Linked DNA regions of Alligator mississippiensis. The protein of the gene in region 1 interacts with the protein of each later gene in a biochemical or structural test. Links are inferred from orthologs where the notes say so. Each region holds a gene or a part of one and is shown in the gene's direction. Other genes may lie near its edges. The genes, in order: UBE2I, NR5A2, CFTR and PIAS4.

The links.
Region 2: of the proteins of UBE2I (region 1) and NR5A2, one has a biochemical effect on the other in vitro, tested with the Homo sapiens proteins (2 studies listed by BioGRID). The link is inferred for Alligator mississippiensis from reciprocal best matches to the Homo sapiens genes UBE2I and NR5A2.
Region 3: of the proteins of UBE2I (region 1) and CFTR, one has a biochemical effect on the other in vitro, tested with the Homo sapiens proteins (2 studies listed by BioGRID). The link is inferred for Alligator mississippiensis from reciprocal best matches to the Homo sapiens genes UBE2I and CFTR.
Region 4: the proteins of UBE2I (region 1) and PIAS4 form a complex in vitro, tested with the Homo sapiens proteins (4 studies listed by BioGRID). The link is inferred for Alligator mississippiensis from reciprocal best matches to the Homo sapiens genes UBE2I and PIAS4.

What each region holds. Positions count from the first base shown.
Region 1 is NC_081836.1:59,499,734-59,507,769, forward strand, and holds the start of UBE2I (SUMO-conjugating enzyme UBC9), read left to right. Parts: upstream 1-5,012; 5' UTR 5,013-5,115; coding exon 5,116-5,135; intron 5,136-8,036. UniProt on the Homo sapiens protein: Accepts the ubiquitin-like proteins SUMO1, SUMO2, SUMO3, SUMO4 and SUMO1P1/SUMO5 from the UBLE1A-UBLE1B E1 complex and catalyzes their covalent attachment to other proteins with the help of an E3 ligase such as RANBP2, CBX4 and ZNF451.
Region 2 is NC_081828.1:67,865,747-67,873,062, forward strand, and holds the start of NR5A2 (nuclear receptor subfamily 5 group A member 2), read left to right. Parts: upstream 1-4,313; 5' UTR 4,314-4,465; intron 4,466-4,482; exon of another isoform or gene 4,483-4,537; 5' UTR 4,538-4,587; coding exon 4,588-4,669; intron 4,670-5,645; exon of another isoform or gene 5,646-6,015; coding exon of another isoform or gene 6,016-6,058; intron 6,059-6,605; coding exon 6,606-6,724; intron 6,725-7,316. UniProt on the Homo sapiens protein: Orphan nuclear receptor that binds DNA as a monomer to the 5'-TCAAGGCCA-3' sequence and controls expression of target genes: regulates key biological processes, such as early embryonic development, cholesterol and bile acid synthesis pathways, as well as liver and pancreas morphogenesis.
Region 3 is NC_081827.1:48,757,036-48,764,990, reverse strand, and holds the start of CFTR (cystic fibrosis transmembrane conductance regulator), read left to right. Parts: upstream 1-4,916; coding exon 4,917-4,982; intron 4,983-5,719; coding exon 5,720-5,886; intron 5,887-7,955. UniProt on the Homo sapiens protein: Epithelial ion channel that plays an important role in the regulation of epithelial ion and water transport and fluid homeostasis. Mediates the transport of chloride ions across the cell membrane.
Region 4 is NC_081839.1:5,585,879-5,592,828, reverse strand, and holds the start of PIAS4 (E3 SUMO-protein ligase PIAS4), read left to right. Parts: upstream 1-3,921; 5' UTR 3,922-4,001; coding exon 4,002-4,028; intron 4,029-6,950.

The sequences.
Region 1 (8,036 bases):
CTTTGCAATGTTTAATTAAGCTTTGAATCTTGCTGTGGCGAAGTACAAGTGATGCAAATTGCACTGAATGGATCTTAAGAAAGAATTTGATGTTTCCATGCAAGTGTCCGGACTATCTGCACTGTCACTCACAGGAGGGCAGAGTCCATGCCCGGGCTGCAGGGTGTAATTTGATCACCACCTGCAGCTACCAAGCACTTTTTGTTCCTACTTGTAAACATCAGCTGGATTGTATTGGAGTGAGCTTTTGATGCCTTCTCTTACACGGTCCTCAGTGAGCTAAGGAAATGCAGATTAGATGAAAGTGCTGTAAGGTAGATACATAACTAGTTGGATTATCATGCTGCAAGTGTAGTCACCAGTAGCTCAATGTGTAGTTGGAAGGAGGCATCGAATGGGTTCCCCGGGATCTGCCCTGGGTCCAGCGCTGTTGAATAGCTTCCTGAACTTTTGGAGGATGGGACTGAGTGCACATTTAGCAAATTTGCAGATGATGCCAAGTTGGACGGAGGTGCAGACACTGGAGGGTGAGGCTAGGATCCAGAACGGGTGAGCAAGACATGGCCTGCAAGCTGGATGCAGCCTGCCAACTGACTGGACCTGGCCACGAGCAGACGCCCAGCAACTGACTGTCAGCCTGCAGCCGCCCCTGCAGCACGCTGCATGGGGCCGAGTCTGCTCTGCTCCTGCACCAGGCCCACCAGACAGCACCACCCCGCCCCAGCCAGGGCACACAGCTTCCCAGCGGGGCTGCTGTCACACTTGCCCAGGTACTGCTAGTTACCCCTGCCTCCAGTGGCTCTTCCTCCTCCTGCCCCCTGTGCCACTCGGGGCAGCAGGCAGCATGGGGAAGCCGTGGGGACGTGTGCCAGGCAGCAGATACCCAGCGTGTAGGGCTCCGGGTCCAGCTCTTGGCTGCCTTCCACCCATCCTGCCCTCCCAGTGTAATGAACACCTGTGGGCAGCTGAACGGGTGGGAGGCATCCAGGAGCCGGAGCCCTGCACACTGGGGCAGGAGCTGCCTGGCCGCAGCTTCTCCCTGGCCTGTCTGGGCACCCGGCTCCCAGCACGGGTCCTTACGGCTTCCCCGCACTACTGCTGCCCAGAGAGGCGCAGGAGGAGGCAGGGGAGCTGAGTGGTACCTGGGCAGCTGTAAGAGCAGCCCCGCTGGGCAGCTGTGCCGGCCGGGGCTCAGGCGGTGCTGTCTGGTGGGCTTGGCCCCATGTGGAGCGCTGTGGACGGGGTGGGGTGGGGTGGGATGAGCCACACCTGAACCTGCGCTGCCCGCATGAATTCTGCTGCATGCATCCCGCTCCCCCTTCCTCCCCCACGGCCGGTCAGCTCCCAGGACCTAGCGCACGAGCGCTGCCCCCACATATAAGAGTAGGACTTTATTTCGAACTATTCAAACACATTACAGTAGATGTTTTGACTGTGATGTGCGCAACCCTCAACAGCTCATCAAACCTCATTAAGTAGGCCCAGCCAAAGTAACTGCCCACCCCTGATCCAGAATGATCTTGACAAGCTGGTCCAAAATGAGTTGAATGAAATTCAATAAGGACAAGCGCAGAAGTCCTAAAGGTAGGAAGGAGCAATCACAGGTACAAGCACAGGCTGGGAACGGGAACGCGTGGTCAGGCTGCAGGGACGAACCCCGGGGCTACAGTGAACCGTAAGTTGAAAATGAGTCTTGCTGCAGACCAAACCAAACCAAACCAAGGAGCCCCACGTCCTGGGCTGCATTAATACCACGCAGGCACTTGGCCAGTGACTTCCCTAGTTCAGGTGTTTAAACTGTCCTTAAACTTGGACAGAAAGTATGTACTGAATGAATATTATTTAAATACAAATTAAGGGACGGGATTCTCGCACCCTTGACAGCGCTGGTGAAGCCTTGTCCGACATACTCCGTCCAGGTCTGAGCATCGCACGGAGACATGTGGACAGATTAGACTTTTATGGACAGCCACAAAAATTATGAGAGATCTGGGAATCTGGATTTAGGAAGAAAAGCTGAAAGAACCGGGAGCGTTTCGTGTAGGGAAGGCTGAGAGGGATTCGATAAGTCTTCAGATACCTGAAGGGAAGTTAGAGGAGGGTTAGTCTCTGTGGGCACAGGAGACGGGACAAAGAACGGTCTCAAATTGCAGCCACAGACATTTACGCTACGCGTTAGTTAGCAGCGTTTCCTTGCGAGGGTGGTCACGCGTGGACCGGCGCGGGGACCTCCACCCCTCGCCGTCTCGGAGCAGGTTCGAGGAACGCCTAACCAGGTCGGTTTGTCAGGAGGGATCCTCTCTCGAGCAGGGGATCGGACGCGCGACCTCCGAGCCCCCGTCCAGCCCTGCTTTTCTACGGCTCTTTAATAGGCTTTAAAAAAAATCTAAGCCGTTGATTTGCCCGGTACGCTGGCAAGAGGCCGATGACGCAGGGCAGGGCAGGGCAGGGCAGGGCAGGGCACGGCCGTCGCGCCGCGCAGGGGCAGCGTCTCTCCCAACGCGGGCCAGACCCAACGCGACGTTAAGCGGTCAGACGCCCACAAGGACAGCTGGCCGCAGCCCCCCCGCTGCGAGGAGCGGGACCCGCGCAGCTCGGCGCCTCCCGCCAGGGCTGCGGGTGCCCGGGGCCGCAGTGCCGCGATGCCAGCGGCACGTGCTCGCCCCGTCGGGCTGGGCCGCGTCCGCGACGCCCGCCTCCCTCGTGCCGCAGGCGAGCGCGTCCCCCGCGCCGGCCTCGCCCTCACCCTCGCCGTGGCGGGCAGCCCCGGGGTGCCGGGGACACCTCCCTGCCGGGCGCCCCGGGGCGGCGCGGGCCCAGGCCCACTCCAGAGCCGGGACCGCCGCGCCGCGCCGCGCCGCGCCGCAGGGGAGCGCGGGGCGGGGGCGGGCGGCGCTGCCGGGCGGGACGCTGCAGCGGTTGGCGCGGCTCCGCGGGCCGGGCCCTGGACAGCGCCCCCCACCCGGGAGCGGGCCGCGGCGAGGGCGGGCTCTTCCCGGGCTGCGCCCCCCGGACACGACACGCGCGCGGGCAGCGGCCCCCGCCCCGGGGCCGCCTGGTCTCCGCGAGCCCCGGCCTCTCCGGCCCGCCCCCCGCCCGGAGTCCGCTCGGCCCCTCCCTGCGGCCGCGGACTCGTCCTCGCGCGCGCCAGGCCAGGGCAGGGCAGGGCAGGGCAGGGCAGGGCAGGGCTGCCCGCACGACGGGCGGAGGCCAGGGCGAGCGGCGCCACCTCCGAGCCCTCACACCGCCGCCCCGGCCGGGGTCCTAAGAGCCTGAGGCCGCAGGTGGCCACCTCGGTGCCTGCAGGAAAAGGCCGGTAGGGCCGCGGGCTGAGCAGAGCAGAGCGGAGCAGAGCGGAGCGCGCTGCGGAGCGCAGCGGAGTTAGCCGGGCCGGGCCGGGCAGCCGAGACTTGCGGGAGCGCCGCGCGCCTCGGGCACTAACCTGGCCACCTGCGGGTCTTACGTGCTGCGGGGGCGGCCGGCGTGGCGGACGGGTCGGGGCGAGGGTCAGAGCGCGCCGGCGCAGCGGGACGGACGGGTCGGGCGGAGGGACACGCCGCGCCGCCGCGCTCCGCGCCGAGCAGGAGGGAGGGAAAGTCCGGAGCAGAGACAAAGGGGGGGAGCGGCCGGGAACATCCGGGTCACTCGCCGCCGCCTCAATCCGGGACACGCGCGGGTGCTGCGGCCGCTCACGGTGAGGCCCGGCCGGGCGGCGGGGGAAGGGAAGGGCCGGACCGGGCCGGGGGAAGGGCGGCCGCGCCGGCTCCTCCGGGCCCCGCGGGGCGGCTCCGGCCGGGGCGGGCCGCGGTGCCGGCAGCCGGGCCGCCCCCTGCCTCTCCCCGGCCCCCTCCCCGGCCCGCGCGGCCTCCCCCGGCCCCGGCCCCGGCCCCCGGCGCGGGGAGGCCGCGGGCCCTGCCCCAGGCGCGGGCGGCGCCGAGGCCCGGCGCGGGGCGCTGTGCGGGGCCGCAGCAAACTTCCCGCCGGCCCGGCCCCGTGCGGCACGAGGGGCGGCCCCGGCGCTGGCTTGGGGCTGGGGCCGGGGCCGGGCCCGCCCGCCCGCGCGCAGCCGGGGCTCCCGGGGGCCGGGACGCGGGTGCGGCCGGGCTGGAGGTGTTTGCCGAGGCGGGGGAGGCCCCGCGCTCGGGGGCGGCGGACGACCACGTTTAGGAAGGAAAGCGCCGTTCTTTACGTAAGGGCGAGCCGGCGGGAGTCGTTGCTCCAGATTTAAACGCATAGTTTGGCTCCTGGAGCCGCCGCGCGGGCGGAGCGAGAGGCGAAGCGAAAGGGAGGCGCGAGGACCGCGGTCGGAGCCGAGCGGCAGGGAAGGAGCGCGGCGCCGTTTGTGGGAGCGGGGTAAGGGAGAAGCGGGAAGGACGGGCTGGAACGGGGGCTCGAGCACGGTCCTCCGTTCTCCGGTCTCGCCCGGCGGGGCTGGCCTCAGCAGCAGGCGTGGCCGGACGCTGCCGAAGGCCTGGCTAACTTGTTTCCCCTCCGAACGATGGTGACCTGGCCCAGCGGGGCCAGCCTTTTTGGTGGATGTGCCACAAATGAAACCTCCCAGAGTACTGCTCCGCTCCCTGTCCTCACCCCACCTGCTGCTCTGTTTTCTGCTCCCCCCCGTCTGTCGCGTGCCACTTGTTGGCCCCGTATGACCTAGGGCTTCTCCCTTAGTAGCAGGTGTTTGTGTCCTCGTAGAAGAATTATTAGAATAATGATTCTGCAGGATATGGCGAGCTTTAGATATTTGCATTTGGTTTTTAGGAGTGAGTGGAACCTGGGGTATAATCCGTACGAGGACTCTTCGCCAGCGATCGGAAGAGCTGCGGAGGGCCGAGCTCGCAGCAGCGTGCAGAACGTACCCGTGCTTCTGAGCACGCTGAGGAAGAAAGCGGTGTTTACATTCACGCTCTGTCACACAGCGTGGTTAGACGCTGCTGCGTGCCAGCAGGCAGGGTACCAGAGCAGAAGCATTGAGATCTTCCCTGGGGTTCTTGGTTTGCTTCTGAGTCTGGAATGAGAAAGGGTTAAAGTTAATAGAGATCTTCTGTCAGTGCCCATAAGAAGTCCGTGGTACTTTCTGCCTGAGGATTTTGATGTGTTCACAGTTCATTTTGCATGGCTGCACATGTTGCAAGGTGTGTGATCTCCCACTTCCACAGGTGAATAAGCAGACACTAAAATGAAGCGGCCAGCTTTGAATTGTATTACTTACAAGTTACATTACTAGAAGAAAGTTAAACTGGCTGTCTGTAAAGTCTGTATCTGCAACTGTCTGTCCAGAAAGAAAAATACAGGCAGCACATACATCTGGGGAATGGGAGTGTTGATCGTACCCAGGGCCTCGTGTTTGGAACCTGCAGCGTAAACACTTCAAGGGAAGCTTTTCAAAACTCTTGACATTGAGAGAGAACCTAGAAACGTTTCTTCAGCTAGGGGGAGCCTCCGAAAATGTGAGAGTCTGTAACCTGGTCCAGGTCTAGGTTGAGTCGCTTGAAGTGATTTGCCCGTGGTTACTTACCCAGGAAGCCTGTGGCATTTCTGGGAACGAAATTTAGTCCAAGCAGACCTGACTTGTACCTTACCCTCTAGACCAAGACCGTGATTCTTCACATTGCCGCTCGGGTTGTTTACGCTTCGGTGCAGAGGAAATGTGAGCTTGGCTAAAATCATGTTTGGCCAATTCTTGGGGTGGGGGGTTCTTAAGGGGTTTTTTCCATTGACATCTCTTTCTTTGTCAAATCTTTTGTTTCAAGCCTCTTTCCTGGCTAGTTGCTTGGAAAGTCATAAGCCTTAGAAAAAGGCTCTGAAAATCAATTAAATGTTGTATTTAGGTTTGTATTATAGTGTCCAATTCTGTATTTTTTTTTAATTTCAGGGATAACATTTTAGTTTCTATTGTACAGTCAGTTAACTCAGACACTATATGTATGCTGTGAAATCCATATCCAGGTCTTCAAGCTTGAGCTCAGATGATAGATGCAAGTTAAATTATAAAAGAACAAATTTTGAAAATAAATTCATAACGTGAAAGATCTTGTGATTTTTGGATTTATATACTAATTATCATGTGACTAGTCCAATGTTATCCATTTGTATGGCTCTAGTAAGAAATTAAAAGATTTCTAAGTAATTCTGAAAATGGAATTTAAGTCTAAAGTTACTCTTCTTTTTTAAAATATTCTCCTTGCCTACTAAACTAACTTGCTGAATGAAATAAGCTGGTGAAAATGTTGTGCTATCTAATGACTATGATTATTTGTTTTGAAATATATAAAAATCATAGTAATATTTAGCAGTGACAGCTTTTAAAAATGTTTCCTTAATTTTCCCGCTCATATTAGTGAAGCTAACTATGTCCATTTTACATTGAGTGGAGAGTGGGTAGAAGTAGGAAATCAACTTTATTAGATGAGAGGAAAAATATTTATGTAATAGTGTTATGGTCCTTTTAAAAATTTTAGTTCAACTTGCTCTTGAAGTATAAGTGTATAAAACCATTAATGCAGATGGTAGTCCTGCATATAGTCTCTTTTACGTTGGAAACAAAAAATACTTCACTGTCTGCAGGTCACTTTGGGAATAGTTTAACTTGAACTCTGATGGATGTGTTAAGCTGAATCTAATGCCTTCTACTGAACTATGAGGGGAACTTTATGCTGTATAATAAGAAAATCACAGGCTTGTTAGTCCATAGCAGGGTGCATACCTGCTGGAGCAGGCAGGAAGGCTAGAAAAAGAAGTACAAAATTTTACCGTAATGAAATAGAAGATGAAGGTGCAGCATGTCACTTTTTGGAAAACGCCGTTTGTTGGTGGTTTTTTGGTACCACGCGGGTCACAGAATGCATGGGTTAATTAAATTTGCTCTGATATAACTGTTCGTTAATCTTGTGGAATTTGCATTTGTGCATTCGCAAACAAAACTTGACCCTTAATATTTTTCTTAGGAGTAGCTGTTACCTTTTTTTTGCCTTTGAAACTTAGGGATACTGTATCAAGCCATAAGCATAACTGATTTTCATGGTTTTTTAACCGATGGTTGCAGTGTAGCCCAGAGGACCATCAATTGCTTTAACAGATCTGTTGTCTCATGCTGTGATTGGCAACAGGTAGGGAGAAACTGAGGATGAAATACTGAGTATATTATGATGATGGTAGGGTTTACTGCATATTTATCTTTATTCTGCTGGGGCTGACCTTGGTTCACTAAATGAAATTAATTATTTTATAATTTGATACAGTGAGAATATTTTGAAATAAGTATTAGTATCAAAGTGTCTTGTGTTTATTTTCTATTAAATCCAGTTTTGCTACAGATGGTTAATGGCACGTACAGTGTCTGGTAATCTGCAAATATTCTGGCATTGTGAAATCCAAATATCCTTTTCTTACTTACCTAACTTTAATCAGTATAGAGAGATAGTTAGCCATGGTAGTCTGAAGTTGAGTGTGGATGCACCTTCTAGATGTGGGTGAGCAAACGTTTTTAGCTGTGGGGTGGAATGACCCACCCTGGGTTGGAGGTGGCCAGGTGGGCACTAGGACCCTGCCACAGCCAGTCTTCATCCCTGCAGTGGCGCGGGAAGTGGCCACAGATCCAGCCCAGGGGCCACAGATTGCTGACCACTGCCAGAAAGTGATTTACAGGTGCATGAGCTTTCAAGAGTAAGAGCTCACTTCATCAGGTGCTGTAGAAGGACACAGTTTGCTCTGTGCGTGTCCTTTCAAGCCATCTGCTGAAATGAACTCTTGCTTATGAAAGCTTACACATCTCTTAATCGAGTAGACCAGTGATTCTCAACCACGGTGCTATGGCACCCTGGGATGCCGTCAGATCCTTGCAAGGGTGCCATGGAGTACCATGCAATGTTAGCACTGCTAGGGTTGCAAACATAATGATAAACTCAGATTTCAAATAGGAAGCAGGGTGTTAAAAACATTGTGACCTGTTGTGGTCTGTCTTTGCAACAGAAGAATTGCTCTATTACCTTCTTGCAGTCAAAATTGAGGGAAAACTAAGAACTGGCATTTTCCAA
Region 2 (7,316 bases), on another chromosome or scaffold:
GAAAAAGAATCAAAGAGAGCCCCAGCCGCTAACTTAACCAGCTGTATTCCTCCTTCTATAAAGCCCTCGCTAAGTTTCACTCTCTGGGGTGTGCGAGACATCAGTCCATGCCAGTGTGCAGCTGTAAGCTTTATTGTTCTTTAAAAATAGTTGGGCAGTCAATAATTGACTGCTTCGAAACAGTCCTGCCTTTCGGAGTAGGAGGATCGACATCTCAGGAAGACATCCGCGAAGCACTCAATATAGACCAGTGTAATAGACTTTTGAAAGGACTGATCACCTCTGATGTACATTTTCCCGGAGAAAGTATTTCAGGCCGGACCCTCCCCCCCTTTCCTGTGTTATTTACATCAGATGCAAAGGGCGGCTTTGTTTTTTTCCCTGCGGTTGACTTTCTAAGAGCTCCTAAAGCACTGAGTCCCTGCCCAAGGAATCTCAAGGTGCGCAAAGTCCTTCTTCCAAGCGGGGAAGAACTAGGACTTTCTCGGCAGGGATTCGCCCTCCTCTCCTCTCTGCCTCCTCTGGGCTGGCCGGGGCGTGCTTAGTACTAGCTATATCCGAGAAAGGGATCTCCTAAAATGCGGTGCTGGAGGTCGAATGGACGGTTCATTTCCCGGAATAAATGTGCCCGAAATACTGGGAGAGGGGAAGAAGGGCTGGGGGAGGGAAGGGCACTTCTCCGGTTGCAAAAAGCTCCCTCGCACTCCGTGCTCCGCGAAGTTGACGCAAAGTGCCTCCTCTGTTGTGTTGTATTTGGGAGGGGAGAGGGGGGAGATGCATCAGCAAGTGGACTCTGGACAGCGGGGCTGATAATGGCTCTTCCCCCTCCCATCTGACTACAGCCTCCGTTTTTCACCATCTGATAAATTTGATAGACTCTGTTTGCAAACGTGCCGCTTTAACAGAGGCGAGGCAGAGAATGCAAACTTTGCTCCTTCCTGAATCTGTCCCTGTAACACTCTTTAGGAGTTAGACTTCCCAGCAGCACTTACAGTCTGCTTCCATTTATTTCTGTATGAGGGCTGGGGGTGGGGGGCAAAAAGTTCCCCTTGCCTGCTCTGATCAAGGGCTCCTTTCTGCCAGATTTACCTTTCCAAAAGAAACATATAAATAATGTGTGTGTGTATGACATAAATAATATATATGTATGTGTATGTATATATATAATACGATATATCAATAATGTATGTGCATGTATGTGCATGCACATATATATGATATATAAATATGTATGTGTACATATGTTTATGTATATATGATATATAATGTATGTGTGTATGTATGTGTATGTGTATATATATAAGATGATATATAATGTATGTGTATGTATATATAAAATGATATATAAATAATGCATGTGTGTATTTGTATATATATGTGTGTATGTATATAAATATGTGTGTACTCATATATTTGTATAAATATACTCATAGTCATACATACACACTATATATAATGTGTATCTTGATTGATGCATGTATATATATACACAAGCGTTTGGCTCATACACACACACACACACATATATATATATATCTCTGACTGTGTATAATGTGCGTGTGTGTGGGTGCATGGGTGCATACACGGATACATATATCACTCTCTCTGCAAGATACTTTTTCTGTACGCAAAGATAGCACAGCGTTTGCCCCTGCTTGGTGAGAGACCCATTAAGACTTATCCAACTCTGGCCTCTGTAAAGTGCTCGGAAACTAGAGCTCGGGACACAGAAACCAGGAGGGGCTGAAGAAGCCCGTGACTTTAAAAGAACTTAACTCAGCCAATATTGTTAATGTAAATGCACATACATTGGAACAGGGAAACATCACATATTCTAGGTCCATGCTCCTTGTACTGATCAAGGCTGCTGGAGGCTCCCCAAGCCATCATCTTTTATAATTATAATTACACGCGTCAATCAAGACCTTCAGGCAAAGTCAGAACAAGGCAGGCAAACTCAGGAGAGAGCTCACATAAAAAAAAGTTTGGAGAACTTAGCAAGGAGCTTAGAAGAAAGGGTAATTAAGGTTGCTCAAGGCAATTGCGAGAGCTAAAAGTCCAAGCTAAATTAAATGTAGCCACGAGGGACCAGGTATCTTTTATAATGCGTACTGCCCTAAACCGTTACTTCGGAGAAATGGAGCTGTGCAATAACCGCTCTAAAGTATTTCCATGTCGGTTAATAACTCGCGGGGCAGCTCTGCGATGCGCAGTCTGAGCTGGGGCCAAGTCGTGCCCCGCTGCGGGCACTGCCCACGCCTGGGTTTCTACCAGGGTTGTCCTGGACAAACCCAGGGGCTTGGGGAGCAGAGACAGGCTGGTCTCGGTGTGCGTAGAGGAAGAAAGCCCGAGCCTGAAGGGCTCGATCTTCCTGGATCGGTGGCCCTCTGGGCCACGGGGCTGCCGGATGGTCTCTGCTGAGCTAAACGAGGGCAGGCTTGCTCCAAGCCCCCTGCCATCCAGCCCCCTCCTCGCCTGAAAGGGCAGAGAAAGCGCACCCTATTCTTTTCCGAAAAAAAACCTTCGCGAGCTGCAGGACCGACGATCTGTTGTGGATACGTATTAATCTAACTTTCCAAGGTCTGCTGTAAATACTGTCATAGGCTCCGGTTTTAATAATCCCTCTCCCGCAGCAGGGAGGTGCGGGAGGCTGAGCTTCCCGCGGGGGAGCAGCCCGGCGCCTGGCGGGGCGCGCGGGGACGGGGCAGCTGCCGGCTGCCCCCGGGGCAGGTCCCGCGGAGGCTCGGCTCAGCTTCCCCCCTGCCAACAGCAGGGGCCGGGGACAGCACAGTCCAAACCTAAATCAGATCCACAGCAAGGAGGCTTGAAAACCCTGGGCTTATTTAACCAACTGGTAACAGCAAAGTTTGGGAGTATTTTTTTTTAATTAAGTAAATGATATGTATAAAAGGCCAGAGCAGCGTGCTCTCATTTCATACCTGTCCAAGAGAAGGGGAGGAAGGAAGACATCTTCCAGGGGATAGATTCAAGCCCCCCACCCCTTGCACCAGGGCTGGATGTGTGTAAAACTTACTTTCAGCAGAGGTGCTGAGCTAGGAAATGACGGCTTTGAAACTAGCCTTGATAATGGGCAGGGGGTTTCCTACTTTTTCTCCCAACTTGGCTCTTTCAAGTGTCTCCCCCGAAACCCACGAGGGGCTAAATGCCCCGGGTCCCAGCCTGGCGATCCCTTAGGCAGAAAGGGGGAAGGAGCCTCTCCTGCAGCGGCCACACCAAGATCCGCGGTGAATCGGACTTGGGTGTAGATCCTGTTTTGAGTGGCTCGGCAGGAAAAGTTCAGATGAACTAGACACCGAGCCCGTTGTCGCCTGTTAAAGGACCTTTGTCTGGCAGCACCTGGTTGGTTAATAAATGAAGGCAACGACACCGCGCTACAGTGGGGGAGCTGGGTGCTGCCTGGAGCCCCTTCTGGCTTGTTAGGTGCGTTTTAGTGCTCAACCCGTTTTGCTTGAAAGGAGGCACCCATGCGTTATTATCACTGCTTTTATGGGGCGGGGGGAGGGAATAAAGCTCGTCTAATCTCAATAAATATCTAATAAAATATCTATAAAGATATAAAACATGTGAACGGCTAATGGGGCGGTCATGCATTGGCAGCTCCCCACACTCCTGGGGCCCGGCCGGCAGATTTGGAGTGAAGCCCTGCCTTGCCACGGCATGAGGCTTTCAAATCCTCCAGCAAATGTCCAGATCCCCGTCCCCGGAGAGCTGGCAGGGCGGATCCGACTTCTGGAGACCAAAAAATGCTGTGGGACCCGCTCCCGGGAAGAAGGAGGGGGTGTCTAGGGCGCTCGCCGGGGCTGGGAGGGGGGAAACTGAGGCTGAGCCAGCCCCCGCTCGGCTCTATAGACTCATAGCTTGTCAGGGGGCTAGAAGGGACCTGGTAGATCATCGGGTCCAGCCCCCGGCGCTGGCAGGAAGAGCTCAAGTGACCCCAGCGAGGTGACCCTTCGTGGGGGCAGGGAGACGCCGGGGGCGCAGGTGCAGCTTGGCAAAGCCCCCCCTCGGGAGGCCTCAGCTCCGCGCACGGCCGGCTCTCGAGGGGGTCAGAGCCAGACGAGCCCCACGGTGAGGGTGAGGGTGAGGGTGAGGGCGGCCGGCGAAGGGGCAGGGCCCCGCACCTCCGGGGCCGGGCGGGCGGTGCGAGGCGAGGAGGCTTTACCAACCGCGAGGCGGGGGCGGAGGCAGGGGAAGGGGCAGGGGAGGCTTTGGGGAGGGCGCTCATTGGCTGGCGGGGCGCCCCCCCGGAGCCCTCGCACACTCGCTATCTCCCACCCCCGCCCGCGGCCCCCGGCCCCGCCAGCCGGCTGGGAAGCGCCGCTTCTCCCCGCCCGGGCGCGGACGCGGACGCGGCAGCCGGGAAGGTCCCAACTTCGCAACTCCGGGAGCCGCCGGCCCCGCATGGCTCGGGCCGCCGGGCCGCCGCTCTGAGCCGCCGGGCCAGGTGCGCGGGGGCAGGGGCGGGGGCGGGGGGCAGCGCTGCCGGCCCCGCCTAAACCTCTGCTGCCGTGTCCAGGTGCGGGTGCCCCGGAGGCGCGCGGAGCCCCGAGCCCGGCCCGCCCGGTCATGCTGCCCAAAGTGGAGACGGAAGCCCTGGGACTCGCCCGGTCGAATGGGGAACAGGGGCAGATGCCAGAAAACATGCAAGGTAAGGGGCGTGCGGCCGCCCCCCCGCTCCTCCCCCGGGCCAAGTTGGCTCAACTTCCCCCGCTGCGGGGCACAGGCGGCCCGATCCCCGAAGTTGGTCCCGCGGGGGCTGCGCGGGGATCCCCGCCAGAGGAGTTGCATCCCGGGGCCCGCGGGCTCTCGCTGCGCGCCGCTCCGAGGCAGCGGACGCTGGGCTCCCGGCCGCCCTCCGAGACCCGCGCCCAGGCCACGGCTTTTATTCCCTCCCCCGCGGGAAGATGGGGGAGCCGGTGCTTGCCCGAGGCAGGCAAAGGGCGGGCGGGGAGAGGGGCAAGGAGCCTCTGCCCACCTGTCCGGACCTGCCCCCGCGCTGCTCGGGGCAGGGCCGCGCCCCGGGGCAGGCTCCGGGCTCTTCCCCGCTGCCTCGGGACCGCGCGGCTCTCCCCTCCCGTCCCAGCCGCCTTCCCCGCTCCCTCCTCCCTCCCTCCCTTCCTCCGCTGCTGCTGGACTCGACTGTAGTTTTGAATCGCTCGGGCGATTCGATATCGTGACAGCTGCTGAATGCTAGTGGAAGGAGAGGGAAAAAAAAACCCACCCTAACTTTGCCGCCCCGGGGTCCATCACCGACTCTGCCGCCAGCGCTCAACCGCTGCGGCACTTCTGGCCAGGCTCAGCGGCAGGAAAAGGGAAGGGAATAGGCTCAGTGCTGAGCAGCGGGGGCTTCTTTTGGGGAGTCACCAGCTAGTGCTGACTGAGCTCTTTGCTACTGGGAGGGGGAAGGTGGGGTCCAGCTCAAGGATCCCTTTCCCTCTCCCGGTTTCGTGTGTTCATTCAGGTCCTTGTGCACCCCTCCTCCTCCCCACCCCTCCTCCGCCTTTCCTCCCACGGGCAGGGGTTTTGTTGGATTCCTGCGCGCAGGTTTTCCGAGCAGTTTTTTCTTTTTTTGCCAGTTTTCCTTAAGGCTGCACAGGGATGTTTGGGGAGCTCCGAGTTTGAAAAGTACCAGACCTTCCTGTTTACATTCTGGGCATCTTTCAGATCTCAGCAAACACTGCGGTTGCTTGTGTCTCCTAGGATCATGAACCTGAATCACTGGGGTTTAACTTTGCCTAAACTTCATCAGAATGGGAAGGATCTGAAATGAATTAAGTTCCCATACTTTACCACCCAAAATACACCCAGAGTCCCCTGCATGTCTCTTCTGTTTTGCTTCTCTCTGCTTTGGCGGACTTAGAACAATTTCGGAGGAGAAAGTCAATGAAAAAGGAACCAATCCATTCAAAATACACTTCGTATTCAATCTGATCAATTGGGGCCTTATGGAAAGACAGGATATTGTTACAGGTGGGGTGATGATCAGAATCCAGCATGAATGGTTTTGGGCATCAGGATAGTATCCTAAATTCATCCTGTAAGTGATTTACATTAAACACACCACAAAAGTGCTGACTATGTTGATTTCAAGTTTAAGTTAGACAAATATTTACAGATTGGTATTCTAACCGAACTTCAAAGGAAACCAGTGGAGTTAAAGTTAATTGAAATACATCAGTGACATTTAAGCTTGACAGTTTTCATTCTGACTTCTAAAAGCATGTTTCATGATAAGTGGTGAAATGAAGTGACTTGACTTAGTTTTTGTTTCCATAGGCTATAGGTTGGTCCAAGAGCACTGCAGTTCTGTCAAACTCTACCTTTGTTTCTTAAGAGTATAAAACTATGACGTTTATGTTTTTGTTCACTTGTTAAGAAGCTCTATTGCTTTGCTGATCATGAAGAATTACATATTCCAATGTGGACTTTTCTTCTTTAAAAAAAGTTTGTATTTAATTTGCAGAGGGTGGTTCTCTCTCACGAATTGTTTCCCCAGATCCCAGTGGATATGATAGTTGGAGAAGGAAAGGATTTGAACTATTTATGTAAATGATCACTGAATGTGTTCTTTCTGCTTTTTCCAGTGTCTCAGTTTAAAATGGTGAATTATTCTTATGATGAAGACCTTGAAGAGCTGTGTCCAGTTTGTGGTGATAAAGTGTCTGGGTACCACTATGGACTCCTCACCTGTGAAAGCTGCAAGGTTTAGTATAAATTACTTAATAGATGATGAAGCAAAATAGTTTCATATAAGTAAAGGAAAAATGTTGGTTTAAAAAAAAAAGATGTGTAGTTTGGCTTCTTTCTGATTCTCTTGATTTGATTGATGCACAAAATTAAAACAAATCCTCTTCAGAATACAGAAGCCTCTTGGAGAGAGAGAGAGAAAGAGACTTCATTTGCAGAAATGTAAAAAACACCAGTCTGGTTGTTTTGCAGTGTGGCTGCCTCTGCCGCTTTTAAATATTTTGTTGTTGTGAAGTGATGTAGTTGTAGAAAGACTTTCATTCCTAACTGTCCTAAATATTGATTTTAGTTGATTTATATACATTCAGAGTATTATTGTTCTGTAGGATAAAGTGAAAAAGTAGTATCTTCAATAAATTTCAACTTTACAAAATCTAATGTAGTTGTTCTAAGATGTTAATCTTTCAGTATAACAATATAAAGTTCTGTTGTCATGATTTAATGCTTATTTTTTCTACAAAATATTCTATTTCAATATTTACTTGGAAGCAAGCAATGATAGTCAAGAAAAGTTATCTTATAAAATAATGCGTTAATATAAAAGTATA
Region 3 (7,955 bases), on another chromosome or scaffold:
TTGAACCAAGTGCATGGTTGGGACACATTGAAACATAATTTTAGGTATCAGAGTAATCTTCCTTCTGGGAGAGAAGCAGGCACAGCAGAGTGAGTGATTACCAAAAAAAAAAGAGTAAGGGTGCTGTGATATTCCCTCAAATTATCCCAAATTTACCCCAAATCCCCTAACAAATCACCCACAAAAATCGTGCCTCTCACGTTCTTTAATGTTTTAAAAATCTAGCAAATCTTATTACTTAGTACTGTTGCAGATAAATTTAGGAAACAATTCTGTCTTATACTTTATAAATCCTGTTTCGTAGAGCAAAGATAGTGGGAAGTGAGGTTAATTTATTGTTTGACATGGGGTTATTTAATATGCAATAGTGAAGCACTTTCTTTTGTGGTCAGTATTTTTAAATTGCTGTATGTTTCAGCAGCTGACTGTTGCTGGCCCTCAGCAGAGCTAATAGCTAGCTTCATGTTCTTTTAAAAATGAATCTTCTGAAAACTGAATTTTCAGTAACATAGAATGTTTGAAAGTTATAGCAAGTGAAGAACCTTGTTTGATAGGACATTCACAGGAAGAGGGGATGAAACATAATCAAACCCATAATAAGATCTTACTTTGCTGCAGCACCTGAAGTACTGAAAACAATTCCAGAAAGCTGGTGCTGTTGGCTGGTGACACATAATTTCTTTATGGATGACTGAATTTATCTTTGCCTGTCTATTACAGGGAGGATAGATGGTGCAAACACTACCTACACACCTCAAGTTATACCTGAAGGGGAGTTACCACAAGTGATTAAAAAGAAACCTGTGTGTGGTTTCTACTTTCTTCTACCAACAGGGATGACTGTCTTTGATAGAAGGAGTCTAATCTAGTTCCTGAACCCCAAATCCTTCAATAATTTCTCAAATACACATGCTGTCCCTAAGTGTTTTGAACCTCTTAAGTCCAAAAGTACTGGGGGCACTTAGAAGTTTGCAGTGCCAGACACAACAGATCATTTCAGGACATGCTTGTGCCAGTCTCAAGGTGGGCACGCAGACACACTTTCCTTAGGGAGGGAAGGCATTGGTCCTAGCTAGTGCCTATAGACATATTTGATACCCAAAAGAGAAGGCAGTGAAGGTAGGTTTCATTTTGTACCAGTTTATAGAGCTGGTTTCATATGATGGCTGTGTCATTGGTCATCTGGTTTGCTCATTCAGGCAGCTCCTCTGCATACCTTGTAGCACAGGTCACACCCAAATTGTTGCAATGGGGCAGTGGTACTCAACTGGCTTGTCCAGCAGGACAGATGGGCAGTGCCCAGTCCCTCTGCGGGCCAGATCCAGGTGGTGGCACCTAAGGCAAGTGTGACAGGGCCCCATCTAGCTATGCAGAGGAGGGCAGGGGGCAGCCCAGCTCTGATCTAGCTGTGTGGGGGAAGGGAGCATGACCTGGGCCTGATCGAGCCATCCTGGGTGAGGGTCATGGCCCATCTGTGACTCACTGTGCAGGATTTGGGATTTTTGCAGTGAGGGTGGGGGTATTAGCTGCCACTGCTCCCCCACTGCCAACTTATCCAACACATGGGGAGTCCTGCAGGCTAGATGCCAAGGCTCTGGCCTGTGGGCTGGAGGTTGAGCTTCCCTGGTCCAGAGCAAAAAGTAGTGCTTTGGAGATTCAGATTTCTGTACCAGCATGTCTACTTCAGGATTGCTGGAGGCAGGAAACTAGCTGTATCTGTGGTACTGGGAATTCCCCTGTGCCGGAGGAAATTCCATTTAGTGAAATATGCCAAGTCTGAAGCTGCTTTTTGATATTGGAAGGATGCACAGCAGCCTTAAGCAGGGCCAAGAATACAGAAATGACAAAGACAAGGTGGTGCCCATCAGAGAAGCAAGTGAAGTTGCCCAGTAGGTTCGAGTTTGCCTGTGTGGCTGTGCAAATTAGAAAACCAAACTGCTACAGTAGGTATGTGTTATAGATTACAAAAGGGAGGGAAAATGAAAGGAAAAAGAAAAGAAACAAACAAACAGAAGTTAAAACAATGTGTCATGTATATGGTACCTTTGTATCTTTCCAATAGTGTGTACTTTGTTACCAGGCAATCAATCAAAGAGGTGGAACTTGTTTTCTTTCTTTTCTTCTCACCCACAGTACACCCTTGAAACTCATTCCCTGCTGGGTTTCACATATATATGCCCATAATAACATCCCTAGTTAGTGGCAAGACTCTGACAGCACTACAGGTTTCCCTGTGAAAGAGTTCATTAAATGCCAGCCAGTAATCCGGTGGCATTTGTTAACGTAATACTTTAAAGCCAATCTGTTTATCTTTATCCTTGCTTTCTTTGTGTCAAAAGAGATTTTGCCATGACAAGAGAAATGAGAACCAGAAATGAGGAATTAATGCTGGTATTCCTAACGAGTTCAGAATGTTAAAGGCCAGATTCACTGAAAATCTTTGGTGCCATTGTTCTAAGGCAGTGCAAACTTTTAATAAGCCTGATATATATGGCCAGTTAAACTAGGTTTATATTCACTTTACAGAGAGGAGTGAAAATCCCCCCTCCTTCCCCCCCCCCGAGTATAATGGTGAATCTGGCCCTAAAATTATGATGATGGGTTATTTATATAGCCTTCTAGCTGGTGCAAGCTATTTTGAAAGTATACAAAGCCTGATATTCTTTCTGACAGCACTTTCCCAAGCATTTTCTGAAAATCTATCTTAAAGGGGGCGCCATGACGCAAACTGTCTCCTAGAGATCTGAAGTCAGCTGATGCAGCCTGCAAGTTAGCCCACAAAGCTGGGGATGCAGAGCAATGCCAGGTCACCCTGGAAGTACATACGCCTCTGTGTAGACTCAACTTTTGAAATCCTGACTGCAGTTTAGAAGAGCCTGGAGGGAATTCCTGGAGGAAGATGGCATCATTGCTTCCCTGCTCATAGCAGTGAATCACCCTTGACTGTAACTATCTCCATGGGTGGGAATACTGCAACTCTTGTGGATGCAGGGCTGAATCGAATCCATTCTTAAGGTAGAACAGGAGGTGCTTACCCAGTAATTAGGGTAAGGCAAAATACACCCAGTTTAGGATAAGGTGAGGGGATGGGCAAAGAGTTGTAGTTGATCAGCTACTCAGACCACATTCCCATGAGTACAGTAGACCTGACTTACTTATGCTCCCTTCCTAACAACTTCTCTGCTTCAAGCACAGTAAATTTTGTTTCTTCAGGCTGTGGCAAAATGCCCAGTTAGATGCTAATCAAAAATGCAAATAAAAAAAATGTAGAAAGAAACAATGTAGTAGAGACTGTTTTCCCAAAATATAGGGGGTATGAAACTGTAAATCTTTTTTTTCCTTGTCTCAAGATAGATTAAGAATTGTTTAGTATAGTTTCAGAGCATTATGCATGGGCTTACAAGGTACCTGTCAAGGGCAGTCACCCTTATTAAACAACAATACTTTGGAATGAAGTGGGGAGGGGGGCGGAGGGGGGAGGCGCTCTTCAGAACTATCTTAGCTTACTTGCAGTAGTCATGTAGTATTCCCTCAGTTTTATTCATTTCATGATTGCCAAATTTTCTGAATGTACTGCAGTTTCTTTTATGAAACAAATTGGCAAGTGTGTTTTTTTTCCCAAAGGACAAGGGATTAGTAGTGTTTGCACAAGCCATGTACACAGTTCCTTTCTGTCATCCTGTACATGACCTAGCTCATCCTTCGAGGTGACCACCCAGGATTTTTACCTAACAAGATTTTGAGTTATTTTAAATATGAAGGCATTCACAAGAATTAGAAATGTATCTCTGATATCACTGTTCCCTAACTTCAGCAGCAAAAGAGTTCATGAACAGCCTGAACAGTTTTCCCCTTGCCACTTTCAAAAGCATATTCTGATCATTGGTTTTACCGTGACATATTATGAACTGTGTGCACTTTTTCATGTAAACTGCAGCTAAAGACTGAGCTGAGACCAAACAATTTATCTGAAACAGAGGATTTCTGTGGTTGCAGAAGTGAAAGAAAATCCTTTTATTGCTTAAAAAAATTCTCCAAAAAAATGCTTAAGCATAATTATCCACTTGGAATACATCTCATTTCCCCAAATGCTTAATAGACTAAATTAGCAGGATTATTGATTTATTATTCACATGATTATAATCTTTTAAAATATTTGTAATGTTAGATTATGTGTGTACACACATGAACATTAAGAGTCATACACATGCATTATGCACCTCATTTACAGAGAGGCCTCTGTATGACATGCATAATATTACTTTTATACTTACTTACGTCCTTTATGCTGCCAGAAGAATATAACGTGGCCTTAATATAAATCAAGAATCAGGTTAATTTTCTTTATATAATACACATTTATAGACACACAGAGTGACATTTACACTAAAAATAACCTCCAATAAACAACTTCTAGCCTTGAAATGACCCTCTTAATATATTCCTTAAAGTTTTGTTTGGCCCTTCATTGCAGACTGTCTCTTTTAGGAAACATATCTTGTAAGTCTTTTCTCTTTTGGATGGCTTCAAATTTGTGGGCTAGGATTTTCTGTTCATCACTTTAATTGTAATCATAAAATGTATTTTTGTGACAGATGGACAGACACATAAAAATGCATGCAGCGATTACTTGCAACCTACTTCTTACAGTTATCTACTTAATTATTTTGTAGAAAACGATTATATTTAACAATGAAAGTAAAGCTTATTTTCACTGTAACCTTAGGCATCTCCAAAATGGTACTTCTACTACTGTATGTACTTTACTATGTATCTTAAAGATGCTTGTTAATTGCATTTTTCTTAATCTTATGTTTTCAAATGACCTTATTAATAAAATATGATGAAAAATTTGAACAGGATCCCTTGGGGATTCATTTCAAGTAGTGTGCACTATAATGCATGTAAGGAGTACCATGAAATCAATAGCTGATTCATTACAGTTACTAATGACTGTAATGAATCAGCTACGAGTGTTACTCGTATAGGGCAGCTAGTTAAGATTATCTTCTTGGTTTTTTTTCTGTGAGTTGATAGATATTTTGGAACCAATATCAATAGGAATGAGATTAGGTCCAAAATCTTTCTTACATTTTAAGTGTCCAAAAATTATAACTCAGTTATTCCTTGAAAGTATGGCTATCTGTCATAGTAGTTTCCACTAACATTAATGGAGATTATTATTTAACCTGAACATTGTGCTAAAAATGTACTTTTTAAGGCCTGTATTAAAGTTAAAAAAAAATTGAAAATGTTTAATAATGGATAAAAGCTATCATTGGCACATCCATTATGCCTTGATCTTGCAAAAGATCACACATAATTTTCAGTGTCTATTGCCAAGTGAACAGTTATGCATATAAACAATAAGTTAAATTTCCTTACTTGTAAGATTAACTTCTGTTTCTAATGTAACAACATTTTTATGTAATATTCATTAGCACAGAGACTACACATTCTTGAAAATAGAACTCCAAAGGCCCAGTCTACTGCTCACTCTACTCCTAGTGATTTTTTGGGGGAATGTTTGTGTAAGAGTCATGCATAAAATAATCCAATTTAAGAAATCCAATGCTGTTCTACTAATGTTATCCTTACCTACATACCAAAGTATTCAAAAGCTACATTCTTGGTTAACAAAGTGTCATTTTATGGTTTATTTTGTAATGCTCTGTTGCATAGTGAATTATATATGCAGTGCTGGATATGACCTAAATAGCTAACGTCCCTCCAAAACGAATCTTGGAATGTAGTAATAAATCTTCTTTTGTTTAGGTGGACAAACCCAATTTTGAAAAAGGGTTACAGACAGCGATTGGAATTGTCAGACATTTATCAGATCCCCTCCGCAGACTCTGCAGATAATCTTTCTGAAAAATTAGAAAGGTATGATTATGTACATATTTATTAGCATTATATCATGATGTGGATGGCAATGGCTTGATCTGGAAGAGTGAGTGAGGACTAGTGAAGGTATCAATTCAGCTTGCTTAATTGTAACAGGACACCAGAAACACTAGAACAATAGAGTTTTCAGCTGCTTTTAAAGTCCTGGTTAGGTTGCGGGCAGTAATGGTTCAACCATGTCGTTGGCTTAGTTTTGGAAAACTGGGTCACTTCTGGCCTGGTTTCAGGCTTGCAATCTCATTTTTAGTTTTGTGGCTGCCTTCTTCCATATCAACATATCACACCACTACCAACTATTTTTTCTTCATAGTCTAAGAAAATTCCATCCCGTTGTTTTAATATCCAGGGCTAAGTCTTGTTCTCAGTTCTACCTACTTAAGTCTCCCTGCCTTCACCTTCCACATACCCCCTTGGCTTTCACCTTTCTCTTCCAGAGCTAAAAATCATTTTCCTCAGGATCCATCCTCACCTTAGAACTTCCACCTCTGAATCCCTCCATTGGCTTTCTTGAACAAAGGAAGTTTTTCCATGATCTCCTTTCAGACTTTTATGACACCAACTCCCTTCACTTCTATTCCCATTTTTTTCACTCTGCCAACACCTTTTTTCTCACTTCTCTCTCCCTGTTTTCACCTTTTGCCTTCTTTCATACTTCAACTCCAACTTTAAAAAAACCTTCCTCACCTCTAGTGCAAAAGACACCTGCACGCTCTTTGTTCAAATCCTTCTTTAAAACATACTTCTGCAAAGTCTATCAAAGTTAGCATATCCTTGCTGCAGCTGATGAATGGAACCCATGTTAAATATATATTATATAAATGGGAACTTCATGCACTGTTTGATATTTGACCATCTCCAGAGGACCAACAAAATATTTAATTGTGTAAGCAGAATGTCAATGGCTTAGGGTGGTGATTTTCATTTGTGGTATTGTGACACCCAGGGGTGCCTTGATATTCTTTTAAGGGTGTCACAAAGTGTCATGCAATACTAGCCCTGCTAGATGTGCAAACACCTACACATGTTTCACAAAATAAACCCAGAAATTTCAAATAGAAATCCATAGCTTAAAAAAAATGTTGACTGGTTGTGGTCTTTTTGAGTTCTTTGCAACATAATAATCACTTTATTATTTTTTCTGTTGTCAAAAAAGGAGTACAGTTAGTTTTTGAAATTGAGTGCTGCTAAATTAAAAAAAAATGATGGAGAATACCTTGAGTCTAAAAAAAGTTTAGAACAACTGGAGTATGGGGTTGGTACTGCTACAGGGGCATTTTTACTCAAGGAGCACTTGCAGGAATGAATCCTAAATCATAAGCTAATTTACTTTCTTTCACAGATTATTTTAAAAAATAAAACAAACCTAAATCCTTAGGATAAACTTCCCTCATTCTCCAGCATAGTTCGGATCTGCATAGCAATGTGTGTCCACTAACATTAAAAGTAAGATGGGAAGAGAAGAAAAGAACACAGGTCTCATTTGTGGACAATGACTTTGAATGGAACTCTTTTAATGGAAGATATTTGTCTTTATGTATATTCCAAGGGATTGGATGTATTTTATAATATTAAATTTGTCATATGATAAGTTGTATTTATTAATAAAATAAAATGGGATCTATGTTTTCAAAACTGATGGCAATGTCCTGAACACATTGCTGCTACTCAGTAATTATTTATACAAGGCAGAATTTCTAGACAATATGCCTCCAATTAATTAACCTTTCCCTTTGAATATACTTTACTGTTCTTTCATTTGCCAGAATTCAAAATTAAAAATGAAAAGGAAACTGTATTAAGAGTTTCCAAAGTTATCAAATACATACTGAATATAAGTATCACAAAGCGTGGTATTTCTCTCCTTCTGACTAAAGATGTACTTCGTGATAGGAAATTACCACCAAAAAGCCCCTAAAGAATTGACAAAAACTAATGCAGTTCATTAAGCAGGCCACAGTTTAGAATACTTTTTCTTTGTTTTCTTCTTGCTGAGGGACTGGAGGAGCTCCAAAACTTTTATTTGCCTATTATTTGTGTATTGGTCTTAA
Region 4 (6,950 bases), on another chromosome or scaffold:
CAATCTCCATTTTTTTCAACAAAGAACAACAGCAAAAATGGATAATATTTGATTCTGGAAACAACTGTGGCCATGGTCAGAGAAATATTTTTCAAAAGTGCCTAGGTCACATTTTCCAAAATAACCAAGGCTCTTGAAGTCAGCCTAGTGAATACATTTAGACACCTAGATTTGTAGATGGGCACTAAATGGCACTTTAAAAAACACCTGCTCCCCAGATCCTCCCAGGTATTATTTATTATTTTATTTGGCAGACAAGGTTCTTTGGGTGAATCTGATATCCTTTATTAGACCAACTATTAAATAGTTGGAAACTATTTAAGTTGGTCTAATAAAAGCTATCAGATTCACCCAAAGAACCTGGTCTGCCTATGTCCGTAGACCAACACGGCTACAACCTACACCCTTATTCTACTTAAGCATTTATCACTCCTTGATTTCAGCTAGCGGATCTTAGGGGCCCAAACATTTGGAAGATCTCGGTTGAGTCATCTGAATTCCATTGACACTAACGTGTTTTTTGGGTTGTTTTTTTTTGTAATTTCCACTTGGCATCTATGTGGATCTTTATGTCTTTTATAAATCTAGCTCTGAAGGGTAGAAGTGAGACTCCAGCTTCAAATTTTTAAGGCAAAGGGGCACATAACTGAAGCAAACTATTCTCTTAAATGCACAGGTGACTTGAAAAACAGATCACAGGATTCCCTGCCTGCCCCAAAGCCTTCTATTCTGGGATCCTACAGCAATACAAGCTCATTGTCCCACCCTAGGTACCTGTGAAGAACGGAGATAACACCTTTTCCCAAGGCAGTTGGGGATAATTGAGTTAATTGCCATTAAGTGTGCATGCCTTAAGGACTGAGCCTGCTGCCTGTTTTTATGCAGAGTTAAAGCCTGGGCCAAACAGCTCCAAGATAAACTGGGCTCCGTTTTTTAGCCTAAGGTTCCTAAGTCACTTTGACACTTACAACATTGTTTCCCGTGATCTTTCGAAAGGCACAAATAGTCCTTAGGTGCACAACTCCTGTTGATTTTCATGGCGGTTTTGCTACTTTGTCCCTCAGAAAAATCCCCTCCCCAAACAGTCCTCAAGTCCAAAAATTATGAAAAGGGATCTAGGGCCCTATTCCTTTGCAGAGGTTTCTAAGCCCACTGATGTGCATACTGTAAACTACATCTGTCATCTCGTCAGAATTGGGGCCCATGTCGGTTACTTGAGTTTTGAAAGATTATAGTAGAAACTACCCAGTACTTCTGAAAATCTGTGAGATCTGAGGAAGAACATCTTGCATCTGAAAGTTTGTCTCACTTTATCCCAACTACGTAGTTTGCCCAATAAAAGATATCATCCTAAGAAAACCTTGCCTCTCGCATAATGTCTGGACCATCAGGGTTACAAAAATCACTCTTATGCTACTTTGAAAATCAGGTTATTTATCGAGGTGCCAAATATGGATGTAGGAATCAAACTTTGTGAAAATCTTGACCAACAAATACTAGATAGCACCTTTGCCTAGTTTACTGGGTTGCCACCTCTTACTGTTTTATTCTAGGATGACAAAATATTGGTCATGCCTTTTAATTCCTGCCCCTGGAAACAAAGGATTACTTGAAAATCTGATCTTTCATTTTTAAAGAGAAGTTTCTAGTTCTTGTGTTATAAAAGACTAAAAATATTAACTGATTGTACCTTAACATGTAGAAATCAAAATGAGAACCAAAAAAAAAAGAGTCCCAAATAGTTTTACAACATTTTTAGGTACTCTTATGGTATTTTGGGTCTTGAATAATGATTTTTGCTTGCATAGGGCTGGCAAGGCTGTGTTGGAATCCAAACCTTTTGAAGCAAATATATACATTTGAAATCTGCCTTCAACCTATGCTCAAGAGAAAGGTTCCTAAAAGGAAAAGATATAAAAGACTTGTGCGATTTTATACTTCTCTTTGGGTTTTTGGAGGGGGGTTTTTGCTTACTTTGTTAATATATTTAAATCAAAGGCCAACCAACTTTGAAGATAGATAGATAAAATATCTATCTATCTATCTATCTATCTATCTATCTATCTATCTATCTATCTATCTCTTGCACCTCCTATAGTTTATCTATCTATCTATCTATCTATCTATCTATCTATCTATCTATCTAATAGGGGTTTTGCTGCCATGGCAGAGCTGTGAGTGTGAAGTGTTATGCAAAAACCTGTATCTCTGCCTGTGGTTGTTACTCTTAGACACAGTGATATAACCACACCACCAAAGCACTTCAGCCCCTTGAAGCTAATGCCGACAGCCCTGTGGGGTAAGGCGGGTTTTTAAAATTAATGTTCATTCAGATGATCACAAGACGTTTGAGGGTCACACTTATGATTTTTGAAACTCTGGGGTCGCCGGTGCTAAGGCCTGCACCACCAGGACAGCAAGTCCCAGAAAGTCAGGACAATGCCGGCTAGCAGAGCTTGAGAGGGCAAATCTGAGGATCTAAATTTAGCATCTTCCTGACTGCAACTCCAGCTGAGTCATAGGACATCATTTGCTTTGTATCTGTTTCCATCTTGCCATATGGGTAAGGCTCATTAACATCCCTGGTGCCAAAGCCCAGGGTGTGTCAGCTGGAACAGAAGCAGGTCCATGGACCCTTTCTTCTTTCGGGGCTCTGCCCCAGGGGGCTGGGTCAGACCTTCCTGAGCCATGGGTGTCTGTGGGAGGACTTCAAAGTACAGATCCCCACTAGAAGGGAGGAGATAGCAGCAGCTGCATATTACCCTTCCTCCCCTCATCAGCCCTGGCAGAGCCTGTTCCACTTCCCAGGGATAGGCGGAGACTGGAAGGTTTTCCTTGGATAACTATGGTGGGCAACGGTGGGATCTCCTCCTCCTCCTCCTCCTCTCGGCTACTATGGAGAATCTTCAGGGGAAAGATACAGGCTCAGATCAGCCTGGGCCTCGTTGCAGGGCCAGGGTATCAAGCTCCTACGGAGCCAATCTGCCACGCGGTCAGTCGCGGGCACAGCCAGGACGCGCAAGGCCGGGGTGAGGACGGCTCCGGCCTCCCTGGGAATCTGCCAAGTTTATGGGATGCTCCCACAAGACACTTCATTCAGCTCAGGACTCGTGGTAGAGGCGATACCTCTTATTAGACCAGCTAGATTTTTGCAAAACAGTTTCTCGGATTGCAAGCTTTCGGGCGCAAGCACCCTTCATCGGGCGTCAGAGAAGAGGTTGGAAAAGCTCTGGATAGAGATGAAAGTTTCTTTCCTGGGTAGATGTGGAAGATCATAATCCCACAGGACACTAAAGCGGGTCAAAGCCCAGTCCCCAGGTGGGTAAGTAGGGTGGTGCGGGTGGGTTGGTAGGTGCGGGGGTGGGTGGGCATGCGTGCAGGGGTGTGCGTGGGTGTGTGCAGGTGTAGGTGTGTACTCCCGGGAATGACAGAAATCCAGCCCATCGTGGCGAACGATCCCAACTCCCTTTCTCCCGCAAGTTGGATCATCTCTGGAGCCCGACGGGCAGCTCGCACATGTCAAGCAAGCAGGATTTGGCCTTGTTCCCTCAAAGGACACCCTGCACCCATGAACCCACGCGGTTGGGAGCGATTCCAAAGATGCATCCCTTTGCCTTCGCCCTGAACCTGAGGACTGATGCTATACCCCGAATACAGCAAAGGAAGCACAGCACTTTACTGCGGACTATGCTCCTTCCACCCCGTGCTCGCACCTCCCCGCCCCTGGTTGCACGTGGGCTGGGCGTGAGCCCCGCTCCCTCCCTATCCCCGCCGCGCTCGGCCCCTTTAAGAGCCCGCGGCTGTCACAGGCGGAGGGGGCGGGTTTTTGGCTGCAGGCGGCGCCGGCAGGCGGCTGCACTGCGCCTGCGCCCGTGGCTGGGGCGGGAGCGAGGCTGCGAGAGTGCGCTCTGATTGGCCGCGCTTGCCCCCCTCGCCCCGCCCCGCCCCGCCGCTCACGTGACCCGGCGGCGGCTCCCGGCGCGGTGGACGCTGGAAACAAGATGGCGGCGGAGCTGGTGGAGGCGAAAGTGAGTGAGCGCCCCCCCTCCCCCCCCTCTCCCACGGGCGGCGGCGGCGGCCCGGGGCTGGGCCGGGAGCGGGGCGGCGGGGCCCGGCTCCGCCCCAGCGCGCCCGGACCCTCCCCCGGCAGCCGGCCGTGCCCCGGGGTCCTGCCCGGCCGCGCCCCCGCGGGCCGCACCTCGCCCGCCGCTCCCGGGGGACCCCCGCGCAGCCCGGGACCTCCCGCCCCGGCCCCCGCTCCTTCCCTCCTCCCTCTGCCCCGCCGCCTGCCCCTGGGGTCGCCCCGGCCCTCCCTCCCCCTCCCTCGGCTCGCGGGGCTGCGAGGGGCACCGGCCCCAAGCGATGGCGGGCAGCGTCCTCCGCTGGAAAGGCTTTTGGCGCAAGTTGCGAGGAGCTGTCCAAATACCTCCCGGCGCACAAATTCACAGCCGAACACTCCCGCTCCGCGGATGGTTTTGCTGAGGTCCGCGTCGAAGGCCGGGGAAGCTTTCGGGGATGAGCGTGCGGCGCCGGACGGTGTCGAGGGTCCCGGCGACCTTTGCATTTCAATGGAGGGGCTTTCAAAACGCGTCTAGTTTTCCAGAGCATCCCGTATATATAGTCTTGTGTGTATATATATAAGGGATGCTCTGTCTCGTATATAGCACCCAGCTCTTCTTTGTGGTCCAGCCCCACTGTGCAATACCCTGGGGTGTCTGAAGTGGGTGAACGCACCCGGGGATGAGCTCGAAGGCAAAGCTTCCTGTCAAATCGCCGCTCCTACCCGGCGACGGCCGAAGGTGCTTGGCGTACGGCCGGGTTAGGCTGGAAGGAAGGAATTCGCCTGCCCGGGGCAGCTGAGGGTTCGCGGCGCTGCCTGAGACGTGGCAGGATTGAAAAGTGGCAAAAGGATTGAAGGACGGATGCCGGTGGTTTGATCCCGCTGTTCTTCTGATGGGAGGCACCGTGGACACGTTGGTCATCGAAGGTGCGCGGGGGTGACGTGTGAGCCAAGCCGTCTTTCCTGCCCAGATGATCTTGTGAGGTCTCTTCCAGCCCTAAACTTGTGTGAATCTGTGGGCTTGGCAGACTGGAACTTGCCATCTTCTGCGCCCCTCGCCCACACGACCTCCTAGTTTATGGGAAAGCCTGCATCTGCATTGATATTGAAATAACCTCGTTAGCTAACGAAACCTGTATTTGTACCCGCTCCTTGATGAGTGAGTGACCCAAGCGTCTAGTGATTTGTTTTTCTCTGTGCCTAAATGTTTTGGGTTTTTTTTATTGGTCAAAAATCATGGTTGTGTTTTTTAAGACTTGAAACGCTTCTAAATATAAACTGCGTAAATGTAAACTGTTTTATGCTCCTGATGCCCCAAGTGATCTGAAGGCAAGAACAGTAAGTGCAGCAATAGCTTTTTTTGGAGGTGTTTTTGACTCTCTTGCAGTAGACATCTCACAGTCTTTAACGTTTCTTTATCTTAACTCTGCGGGGTGGCAAAGTCCTATTTTTTTCCATGCTGCAGACGAAGAACAGAAGCACAGAGACCAAATGACTCATCCCGAGCTACACAGCAGCTCTGTAGTGAAGCAGGGAAATGAACCCAGGTTTCCCAAGTCTTAAGACAAGTGTTCAAGCAACTGAACTTTCTCCAAAGCCCTTTCCCCCTTGCCAGAAGAAATTCCAGAACATCTCGGCTACCCGGCGTCTCAGTCCAGCCAGTGAGTTTGAGTTCTGTGTCCTCTTCAGTGAACCAGGAAGTTAGAGGCTTTCATAGTAAACTGAGAAAAATAAAATAATGTTAGGCCTTTCTGGGCTGAATACTACTTCCCACAAATAAACATGGCAAGTGAACGTTTTTGGTCTTACTTCATTTTTTTTAGTTTAAAATTAGTTTGTCCCTCTTCAGAGAATCACAAGAATACTGCTATCAACTGGTTTGCGTAGATTAATCTGACTTCAGATGGAAAGATCATTACTGGCTCTCCGATTTCACCTTCTGCTGTAGAATACTGTGTATAAAACACAAAGTACATTGAAGTGATAAATGTAGGTGCCCGCGAAACATTTTCAAGGCAGTTTGCATTTATCGGAAATGCACTTCATCGGTTCACCCTGAACACTTGTGACATTGTTTTTGGTAGTCAGGAGGGTCAGAATGATCAATCTCTGAATCTAAGCATTACTTTTAATTTAAAAAGCTCTTATTCTTATGCAGATAAGCTTTCCAATGTAGACAGATGCAATGTTGTCTTCCTGAATCTGTGAACAGGTATAGGCTCTCTGAACTTCCACAAGCATGAGAAGCTGAAATTGAGGAGATTGGCTAGTTTTAAATGGTCTTGAAAACCTTGGGTCTGCCTTAACTTAATGGTTTTATGGTGCTCCATTAGAACAGTAGCGAGGCAGGCACTGGGCCTGGTCATAGGGGTGGCTGGGCATGGGCCAGAGAAGCAAGTAGTCCCTTGGCATCCTTGCCCATCTGGCAATCTGATAGGCCCTGCTCTCACCCAGAGGATAAGAAGTCCTGGGTGATAAGGAAAGGAACTGTTCCCGTGGGCACAGGAAGACTGAGTAGAAAGGATTCTTTAAAAACATCAGACTGCAGTGACCAGAGACTGCTATGAAGATGAAATATTCAAACAGAGTCCAGAGAATACATCCTGGCAGAAAGAGGGAAGATGCTGAGGATGTCTAGCATCAAGACCTGGGTTTCTGACCAGAGGGTTCCCTGTGAATGTCATTGATGGCCTGGCCTGTCTTCCTACCTCCTGCTCCAAGAAAACCTCTTGAGCATCATCCTGTGGCTTGTTAGCATTTCAGTTCTAAAACAGGCATATGTGAGAATTCTCCTGCACATGCAGGCAGTGCTGATAACACTGGGATAGATGTGGCAGAGTCTTAAAACAGGGCGTTCTTCATACAGCCGGGGGAGCACTGTTGCTAGAGC